Saccharomyces cerevisiae S288C: one gene and its partners. The protein of the gene in region 1 purifies or fractionates together with the protein of each later gene. This does not show direct contact. Each region holds a gene or a part of one and is shown in the gene's direction. Other genes may lie near its edges.

Region 1 (3,484 bases):
CTCTCTTTTAACAGCATACGTTCTGTTAATTTATTTGGCCAAATATTATTGATGTTTATTTTTTTCTTTTTTGCATAGCCTTTCTACATTTCATGGCTTTATTTATTTATATTTATTTTTCGTTTCCTATTTTTTTGCATACATAGACACTACCTTTGATTTTTGCTTGTAAGATGTACGATATAAAGTATACTATGAAAAATTTGAAAATATTGGTCTTAGTTACTTTTTCTGGTTTGTTTTATCAATTCATGTAGCAGTGTGCACGAAAATCTAGTTACGCAATGTGAAATCTAGAAAACCTTCTACAATTTGGAATTATCAATCACCTCTCGTTGAAAGTTTTCACACACCAATTCTGGACGGTCGAAGCATAAATTATGAGAACAGTCAGGTAAAATAATCACTTTACGAAGACATTCTTTATTTATAGTTTGTTTGTAAAATTCCAAATTTTCAATAGGAGCTATAGGATCTTTTTCAGCGCCAAATATTATAATTTTCTGTTTCATATCCGTTTGCGTCAATACACCATTGAATTTAACCCAATCAACAGTTTCCCATCCTAGTAAATAACCTATGATGGTTCTACTTTTGTTGCTTATGTTGTTTTTAAATTGCCAGAACTTCCTGTATTTCAACTTGACATCATCACCTTGTTGATAAAAATACTGCTTGATGCCGGAACTTTGTAGACCTTTTACCTGATCGAATTTGTTTCTATAAACGTCAAATAGCCATGGCAATTTAAACACACCATAGAGAGCCCACTGGATAATATGTTTATCCTTAGAAAGCTGCTCGATATGTGCTTTGGGGGGCGTCAACAAAACTAGCGTTTGTACCGCTTTTGTATCAGCCATGTGCTGCTCGTAAAGATGACATGCCAGAAAACAACCCATAGAATGCCCTACAAGCACTATCTTATGACCGTTAAATGGATTTACGTTATCATTATTCGGCACCGCTGTAGACCATTTTCTTAAGACGTCACATACAAGAACGAAAATAAGTTCCACCACTTTCAGCATGGGGTAGTCGCTCCATTCTGAACTATGACCAAAGCCGGGCAGATCTAACGTCAAAAATGCCTTTTGATCAGAGTCCACAAGCTCGAGTAAGGGTTCAAATTGTTCTAAGTTGCCAGCCAACCCAGGCACGAAGACGAAAACAGTATCACCCCGTATCCCTTTATCGCTCAAGTTGTGACACGTCCTTATTCTTGAATTTCGATCCGATAGTTGTACATTAAAAAACTCCTCATGTTCTGCGATAAACTTCAACCTAAAGTCCAAATCTACCTCTGGTTTGCGAATGTAAGCTACCAAATCAGCTGCATTTTCTGCATTTTGAACAATCTCTTCTAGCGTCTTTCCAGAAAGGGGCTCACAGGACCAACTTTTTGTTGCTTCTGCACGTTCTGCCATATTCATTACCAAGAGAAAAAGTTCTCGGTTTAAGGCTTTCTTCTAACGTTGAGTTACGATCCAAATGCGACTGTACCATCTTGGTAGTTCTTTATTAATGAACCCTTTAAAATTGCCGGGTTAAAAGAATGGCGCGTCCTCTTGAAACTTTTCGAAGAAAACAACGTAACTGATGGTTAAAATTTGCATAAAGAAGGTCAGGCCTCGTCTGCGGACAACAACACTATCAATATCCAGCGTGCAATTATGTCTGTGCACCACAAAAAGAAGCTAATGCCCAAATCGGCATTGCTGATTAGAAAATACCAAAAGGGAATCAGATCATCATTCATTGGGCTCATCATAGTGTTATCCTTTTTATTTTTCATGAGTGGCTCAAGGTCCCCAGAGGTACCAATAGCTCAGGGCACCAGTGTCAGTCGTGTAGCCAGTAAGGATTATTTGATGCCGTTTACTGACAAGTCACAAGGAGTAATCCATCCCGTGGACGATGGAAAGAAGGAAAAGGGTGTTATGGTCACATTGGCCAGGAATTCAGATTTATGGAACTTGGTAAAATCTATTAGACATGTTGAAGACAGGTTCAATAACAGATATCACTACGATTGGGTGTTCTTGAATGACCAACCATTTAGTGATGAGTTTAAACGTGTTACCAGTGCATTGGTTTCAGGCAAGGCAAAATATGGGACAATCCCAAAGGACCATTGGTCCATTCCATCTTGGATCGATACTGAAAAATTCGATGAGAAAAGGCTTGCAATGGGAAAATTGGATATTCCATATGGTAGTTCCGTGCCTTACCGTCACATGTGCCGTTTCCAGTCAGGGTTCATATGGAGACACCCACTACTGGAGGAGTACGAATGGTTTTGGAGAGTGGATACCGATATCACTTTATTCTGTGATATTCAGTATGACATATTCAAGTTTTTAAAAGTAAATAACAAGAAATATGGATTCATTCTTTCGGTAAGTGAATATGAGCGCACAATCCCAACCTTGTGGGAAACGACAAAGAAATTCATCAAGAAAAATCCTAAATTCTTACACAAAAATAACCTCATGAAATTCATTTCGAATGATGATGGTGACACTTATAATATGTGTCATTTCTGGACCAACTTCGAAATCGGCTCTTTAGACTTCTTCAGGTCCGATGCATACAGAGAATACTTTGATTACTTAGACAGTTCTGGTGGATTCTTCTACGAAAGATGGGGGGATGCGCCAGTGCACTCCATCGCTGCCTCTTTGTTCTTGGACAAGTCAGAAATCCATTTCTTTGACGGTCTTGGATTCCATCATCCAGATTTCACCTCTTGTCCTATCGAACAGAAGATTAGACTACAAAACAAGTGTATCTGCGAACCTAGCAAGGACGTCACCTGGACTCCTGACTACTTCTGTACTAGAAAGTACTTTTCAGCAGGAAATTACAAGCTTCCACCAGGAATTTAAAAACCAAACTACAAATAGCGCCTGCTCCGTCAAAACAGGTGCTAAAACGTCAACATGTATCTATCTATATACACATAATTCAATGTAGTAGCCACCTCACTTTATTCTAGTGCCTTCTTGGGTTCAAAAATGGGTGCGGTGCGGCCGGAGATGAAGAGAGAAAAGCAAAATTGTATCTAAACCAGCCTACAAAAACACAAACTTGATATTATAAAGAATCAAGCATCTTACTGAACTTTTGTCCTCTACAGAAAAGCGAAAAAACTCTAAGAATAGAGAACTAGAGTGGTGTTCATATTTCTAGTCACCATGGCGTTTGAGGATTATTTTTCTTTCCAGATATTCTTCATTTTCTTAAGGGAATCCTTAGAAATTGTTGTCATTGTTTCTATCCTGTTGACGATCGTCAAACAAGGTCTGTCTGTTGAGGACGACAGCCCGTTTGAAGGAAGTTCCTCTTCTGCTGGTCTTCCAAGTCCAAATACGAACACAAACGCAGATTCGACCACTGCCTTCTTACAAGCAGGGCCTTCAGACGGTAATGCTATTGGAACGTCCGCTACGGCTGCTAATAATAAATCGAGGCCGCTAAATGT
Region 2 (3,322 bases), on another chromosome or scaffold:
ACTATTATATATTCAACTTATTTAACGTGCCCAATGGAAATGCACTGGATAACCCTCGTTGCATTTATTGCTACATTCTTCAACCTAGCTGCTACCTCGATCAACAATAGTTCCCTCCCTGATGTTGATCTTACTAATCCTTTGAGATTCTTCACTAACATTCCAGCAGGACTTAATTTTAATGAAGTCATTTTTCTCGAAAGAAACGGATTCTATCTTGGTGGAATAGACTCTCCCTCAATCTACCACTTAATAAATGGTACAGCTGTGTATTTTGGGGATGTCAGAGATAATATCATGCCGGGTACAGTTGGCACTACTAGGAATGTTACAGATGTCGACTATGGCTCCTTACTGACAGAGTATGGTTATGAAGCTAATACAGATTATGTCTCGCGTTGGATCGCCACTCATGTAGTAATCTCTCCATTGAATGCTACAGAGTTTTTCCAAACACCCGTGCCAGTACCAGTGCCAGTGCCGATAACAATACTGCACCAACAGGTGAACTCAAAACTACATTAGTCAGGACCCGTTCAGCCCGTTAATCGTGGGAATCTCTGTACTGAGGGTCAACTAGTGTATGCGACTGTGATTCAGATAATACCTTAAGCGTCGAAACCTCATACCCCCTCATCTGGCTCGGGAGCCAGTATACTATATATATATATATATATATATATATATATATATAAATTCCTAAAATACTCTCACACAGAAGCACAATAATGAGTGACGCAAATGCAATTTATGACTAATTCATCACCAAAGAGAAATATGCAGCGTTAACTCTCAATCTAAGAATATGTAACAGATTTTAATCTCACGAACTAGCGACTTTAATTGTTGTACCTTATTCCTTAGTAACGTTAGTAGTGTCTAATATTTTACTAGACGGTGCCACGATTTCAGAGATGTTAGATCAAAATTCCTTTCTTAAGAACAAGGATATGGCAAAGTATGGTAAACAAGACGTACAAGAGTGTTAAAGATAATGCATAGAACACGCTCAGTGTAAGCAAGATTAGTACAACTGCTGATCTGGAGCCAAGACAACAAATATCACATCCCGTTTGTCATGTTAAAGATAGCTTATCATAAGTTAGCTGAGACACTCAACCTCATATAAAACAAAAACTGATTATTTTGGTGAAATAATGAATCTTAAAGCTTGATAGTATTTGTATTGAATTACTACTCACAAACTATTTAAAACATCAAGCCAAATATATGCGGAGCACAGAGAAATATTTGTGAATTATATCTTTTGTTGGAAAGACAAGCAACTATCCTAGCGACATTAGGATTGCCAAGACATCCGGTTTTATTCAGACCCTTACATCAGCAGCAGCACGTTCCATCTTTTCAAACTTCCTGCCAAACATTTATGAAGACATGAAACTCTAAAATGTCATCTATTTATAGTAGTCATATTACTATTATATTATTACATGCGGTGTAAGAAGATGACATAGGATTGGGACACAGTCATCGAACTTAATGGACGCTGAAGTGCAAGGATTGATAATGTAATGGGATAATGAAACATATAAAACGGAATGAGGAATAATCCTAATATTATCATGTAGAAATATCGATTCCATTTTGAGGATTCCTATATCCTCTAGGAGAACTTCTAGCATATTCTATATACCTAATATTATTGTCTTTGTGAACAATGGATTCCCACAAATTATCTCAAAATTCACAAATATCTCATTCTCGCATTCCAACAGTTATGTTACTCATTCTATTCGTTTGTTATGTGTGTTTTATGAACGTTTGGGATGACGTATTGTCATACTGACGTATCTTATTTTGAGATACAACATAGTTGTATTTTTAGCCTCCTTAGCTTAGTGGTAGAGCGTTGCACTTGTAATGCAAAGGTCGCTAGTTCAATTCTGGCAGGTGGCATTATACCGGTATTATTTTTTTTCCCTTTGTTCTTATTTCTCTATCATTTATAACTTTATGATTTTTTAAAGGTTGAATGGTCAATGTGAAAATTAAAACTAAAAACATATAGTTGACAAGTGAGAAAAAGAGCAAAAGGGAGAAAAGAAATTGTTAGAATAAAACCATGCTGTTAGAATTGATTTCTTATGCAGGAACCGTTTCAGGGTTTCTTTTTTTAACACTTTCAATTGCATCGGGTTTATACTACATTAGTGAACTTGTTGAAGAACACACAGAACCCACAAGACGGTTTCTCACAAGGGCTATTTATGGTATAATATTAATATTAATTCTGCTACTGTTACTAGACGGTTTCCCGTTCAAACTTACACTTTTTTCCATTGCATGTTACATAGTATATTACCAAAACTTAAAAAGTTTCCCATTTATTTCGTTAACCAGCCCAACTTTCCTATTAAGCTGCGTATGTGTGGTCTTGAATCACTACTTCTGGTTCAAATATTTTAATGATACGGAAGTTCCCCCACAGTTCAAATTTGATCCAAATTATATACCACGCAGACGTGCTAGTTTCGCTGAAGTAGCCTCATTTTTTGGTATATGCGTTTGGTTCATACCATTTGCCTTATTTGTTTCTCTGTCAGCTGGTGATTATGTGCTACCAACGACTAGTGAGCAACATATGGCTAAGAAAAATGATGACATCACAACGAACAACCAGCCAAAATTTCGTAAAAGGGCTGTTGGGTTAGCTCGTGTAGTCATCAACTCGGTAAGGAAGTACATCTACTCTCTAGCCCGTGTATTCGGTTATGAGATAGAACCTGACTTTGATAGATTGGCTGTTTAGGATTGCCTTTTTTTTTAACATGTAGTTAGTTTTTCTTTATTTGAATATTCTAAATAAGAAATATGTGTAATGCTCTGCCAACTATTTTGCACAGGAAAGAAAAATCACCAATACAATACTACTATATTTTACCCAAGTTAATACGGGAAAGTATATTTTCTTTTCCATATTTTTCTTTTTTATTGACGTTTGCATTTTTTAGAGCAACTAGTAAACAAAAAACCAGTCAGGCCCAGTAGATTAAGTATTGTCATTACATAGACAAAGGCAAGAGAAAGAGAGCATTTTCTTTCGGTCTCTAGTTATGTCTGTTAAAGAGCATAACGAAGAAGATATTATTGGTGATGAATTACAGAATTCGAGGCAACTCTCCATTGATTGCGACTCAGTTAAAATTTCACTAAGGAACACATATTGGACCAAAGACTATACAACAGGTATCAAATTATTCATAAAACATATGAAGAGAGAAAATGATTTGCTGATTAAAGACATCAAATTTTACAATGATTTTGTCAACAAATTTTGGAAACCAACATTGAACAATTTACA
Region 3 (3,539 bases), on another chromosome or scaffold:
ACATATGTAGTGGTGTTCGTTGGTGCAATATTTGTTGATATAACGATGAGACAGGTCACCAAAGAATTTCAAATATTTGAGGTTTATATCTTTTCTAATTTGGCGCCAAGTTATTATCCTGTGATACCCAGTAAGACAAAAAATGCCCCATAGCAGTCCTTATCTTAATACTGACCATTATGAAGGGGCTTACATTGTACAAACATATTTGTAATAGAATGTACCGGATATTTAAAATAACCCAAGCATCAATTGTGTAGTATTCTTAATTTTTTTTCTTGGTAAATTTTTGGGAGAACATTTTTTTGTGTCATCTTAGGGGAAATTATAAACCATTATACACTCCATACCATGCACTTACTTAAATTCTATGGACACATCCATCAATTAAAAGATAAAACTAATAAATAGAAGCATGTTATATATGAATATATATATTCTTTCTGTCATAATATAAAAGGGCGAGCATGTTATTCCCTAAACGTCTGATTGTGTGGGGTGTTCTATTGATTTTAAGTTTATCACAATTTGTCCTCTACCTGCCAGCCACAACATGTACGAACTCTAAGGGACTTAGGTTATGCGCTCCACAGTTTACTATAACTGTGATTGGAGGATCCAGTACTGCAAATGAGTTTATTGCAAGTGTAAGAGAATTTCTGCGATTGATTTCGTACCTGACAATTGACATGGGTTGGTCGAATGAATTCACTGATCCAAGTGTGTATGAGGATGAAAATTTGGTGGACACATTTCAGCCTGATAAGGTTTTTGAGCTCAATTATTTTGGATTTTGTAAACGGAGTAATAAAAGCAAAGTTTATTGTACCTCTAATGAGAATTATGGCATGGACGTACTTGAAGTACTTGTCAGAGACGTCGGGATTCAATTAGGTAACATTTCCACTACACGATCGAATGAAACCAAAAAATTCGGAGACTCTCTCGTATTGACCTACCGTTTGGCATTGACATCTATTCGTGATTTTTTGAAACACGACAAGCACACAGGAAATGCCCTATCAAAGGCTTTGATTGGCAGTCCTGATCCAAATGTAAAAGGCGTGTCACCAACAAAAAACTATCTGAAAGGCGTCAACCTGGCATTTATACTGATGATGTTCAACGGCATGGTTTTTTACTTTGCAGTGTTGGAAATAATAGTCGGATTCCTCAGTATCTGCGTAGTGTCAGCCTTTGGGGGAGCACTTAGTGTTGGGAAACGACACCGCTTATTTCCTATGCTTTTGAAGTCATCAAGTTCAATATTAGTTGTTATTGCTACATTGACAATATTATGTAACATCGTATATTTGATTGCACTGAAAACATTAGAACCTGAAGAGGTAACAGACGTAGGATCTGACAACGCTGCTGTACACACTACAGGCTGGGAACTGTTAAAAGTAAACGTGGGAAGTGGGTTCATTATGGGGCTCGCCAGGTATGCCATCCAGTGGGTCCTATTGGTACTCGCATTTCTTGCAGCAAATCATTACAAAGCTAAGCCCAAAAAGTCTGATAAGTATACAGAAGACACATCTAACTCCCCTTCTCCAGACTTGATGGAGAAGTAATTCACCACAGAACTTTTTTTTCAAATGACAGTAAATATGTAAACATATACACAGCCTTTCAGTATATTAAGTATTTTTGCATAACGTCCTTTTTTCCCGCTCGGTCAAGGCTTTGAAAAGATATTATCAATGTTCTATTCTTACTGAGAAAAGCGTTCCTCCAAAATGCTTTTGCTGTAACGTACAGGCAGAGACTTCAGGAGTATATAATGGCAGGATTGAAGACATTTGATGCGTTTCGTATGTTATATGGATTTTTCTGAAGTAGCCCGCTTCAGCATATTTTATTTTTGCTTTTGCTTTTTCACTAACAATGGAAATTTAACTTTACAGCAAAAACTGAAGAACAGTACAAGAAGAAATCCACCAAGGGTGGCTTAACATCTTTGTTGACATATCTGTTTCTGTTGTTTATAGCATGGACCGAGTTTGGTGAATACTTCGGTGGTTATATTGACCAGCAGTACGTAGTGGACAGTCAAGTTAGAGATACCGTTCAAATTAATATGGATATATACGTCAACACGAAATGTGATTGGTTGCAAATCAACGTCAGAGACCAAACAATGGATCGGAAACTTGTATTAGAGGAATTGCAATTGGAAGAGATGCCATTCTTTATTCCTTATGACACAAAAGTCAATGATATCAATGAAATTATTACGCCGGAATTGGATGAAATCTTAGGGGAAGCTATCCCAGCAGAATTTAGAGAAAAACTAGATACTAGGTCATTTTTTGATGAAAGTGATCCTAACAAGGCACATCTTCCGGAATTCAATGGGTGCCATGTATTTGGGTCCATTCCGGTAAATAGAGTTAGTGGCGAATTGCAGATTACAGCGAAGAGTTTAGGTTACGTGGCTTCACGCAAAGCACCACTGGAAGAATTAAAATTTAATCATGTTATTAATGAGTTCTCTTTTGGTGATTTCTATCCATATATTGATAACCCATTGGATAACACTGCACAGTTTAATCAGGATGAACCTTTAACTACTTACGTCTATTACACATCTGTTGTGCCCACTCTTTTCAAGAAATTGGGGGCAGAAGTGGATACTAATCAATATTCTGTTAACGATTACCGCTATTTGTACAAAGATGTCGCTGCTAAAGGTGATAAAATGCCGGGCATCTTCTTCAAATACAATTTCGAACCATTATCCATAGTAGTTTCTGATGTTCGTTTAAGCTTTATACAGTTTTTGGTCAGATTAGTGGCAATCTGCTCATTTTTGGTCTACTGTGCTTCGTGGATTTTCACACTACTGGATATGGCTCTTATCACCATCATGGGACCTAAGTGGTCCTTGCGTTATCAGCCAGATGATAAAACTAAGGGTATTTTAGATAGGTAGATATGTAAAAGAAAAGAGAATGCAGTATACCCAAGATAACGTTTCATTTTCATCTGTATAAATTTCATGACAATAGATTATAAGAAAAAGTGTGAGACTGAAGGCAGAGCGATCGCACTCAAGTTTCTGTGCCAGGCATACCTTCAAACAATCGTCCATAACAGCCTGAATATGCTTCTCTAAAATGTTCATAAGGGTCCTCAGGATAAAGTAATACTCCGCATATAAAACAGAACAGCGTCCCGCATACTTCGCATTTCATTTTATTGCAACCTTCACTTCTTTCTACAACTACCTTACACTTTGGACATCGCTGCAAATTCGAACCCTCTTTTTTAATCGCTAAATCTAACATTTTTTCAGCAAGGTAATCATTGACTTCAAGTTCTAATACTCTTCTCCCATATTTTGCCTCCAGTTTCCGCTTTCTCTCATATGAAGTAACGGTATCATCTAGATATTCCTCAATAATATCGGTCGATAACGAAACTTTCTTGCCACATTTATTGTTGTAACCATGCCAGGCATGCAAGCAGTCAAAGCAAAATACAAAATGACATTTTTGACACTGAATCATCGCATCATCGAGGTCTTCTTTTGT

Evidence for each region.
Region 2: the proteins of KTR3 (region 1) and SVP26 purify together in Saccharomyces cerevisiae (affinity purification with western blotting; 5 studies listed by BioGRID). This does not show direct contact.
Region 3: the proteins of KTR3 (region 1) and ERV41 purify together in Saccharomyces cerevisiae (affinity purification with western blotting; 2 studies listed by BioGRID, with this or other methods). This does not show direct contact.

Annotation. Positions count from the first base shown.
Region 1 is NC_001134.8:631,949-635,432, forward strand, and holds KTR3 (mannosyltransferase KTR3), read left to right. Parts: upstream 1-1,673; coding exon 1,674-2,888; downstream 2,889-3,484. Other genes in the region: LDH1 (triacylglycerol lipase), read right to left, coding at 306-1,433; FTH1 (Fth1p), read left to right, coding at 3,198-3,484. UniProt on the Saccharomyces cerevisiae protein: Possible glycosyltransferase that transfers an alpha-D-mannosyl residue from GDP-mannose into lipid-linked oligosaccharide, forming an alpha-(1->2)-D-mannosyl-D-mannose linkage.
Region 2 is NC_001140.6:465,145-468,466, forward strand, and holds SVP26 (Svp26p), read left to right. Parts: upstream 1-2,083; coding exon 2,084-2,770; downstream 2,771-3,322. Other genes in the region: YHR180W (uncharacterized protein), read left to right, coding at 34-525; RGD3 (Rgd3p), read left to right, coding at 3,075-3,322. UniProt on the Saccharomyces cerevisiae protein: Plays a role in retention of a subset of membrane proteins in the early Golgi compartments. Facilitates endoplasmic reticulum to Golgi transport of mannosyltransferases MNN2 and MNN5.
Region 3 is NC_001145.3:138,462-142,000, reverse strand, and holds ERV41 (Erv41p), read left to right. Parts: upstream 1-1,786; coding exon 1,787-1,817; intron 1,818-1,910; coding exon 1,911-2,938; downstream 2,939-3,539. Other genes in the region: SMA2 (Sma2p), read left to right, coding at 468-1,577; ITT1 (RBR-type E3 ubiquitin transferase), read right to left, coding at 3,057-3,539. UniProt on the Saccharomyces cerevisiae protein: Constituent of COPII-coated endoplasmic reticulum-derived transport vesicles. Required for efficient transport of a subset of secretory proteins to the Golgi. The C-terminal Ile-Leu motif is required for exit from the endoplasmic reticulum.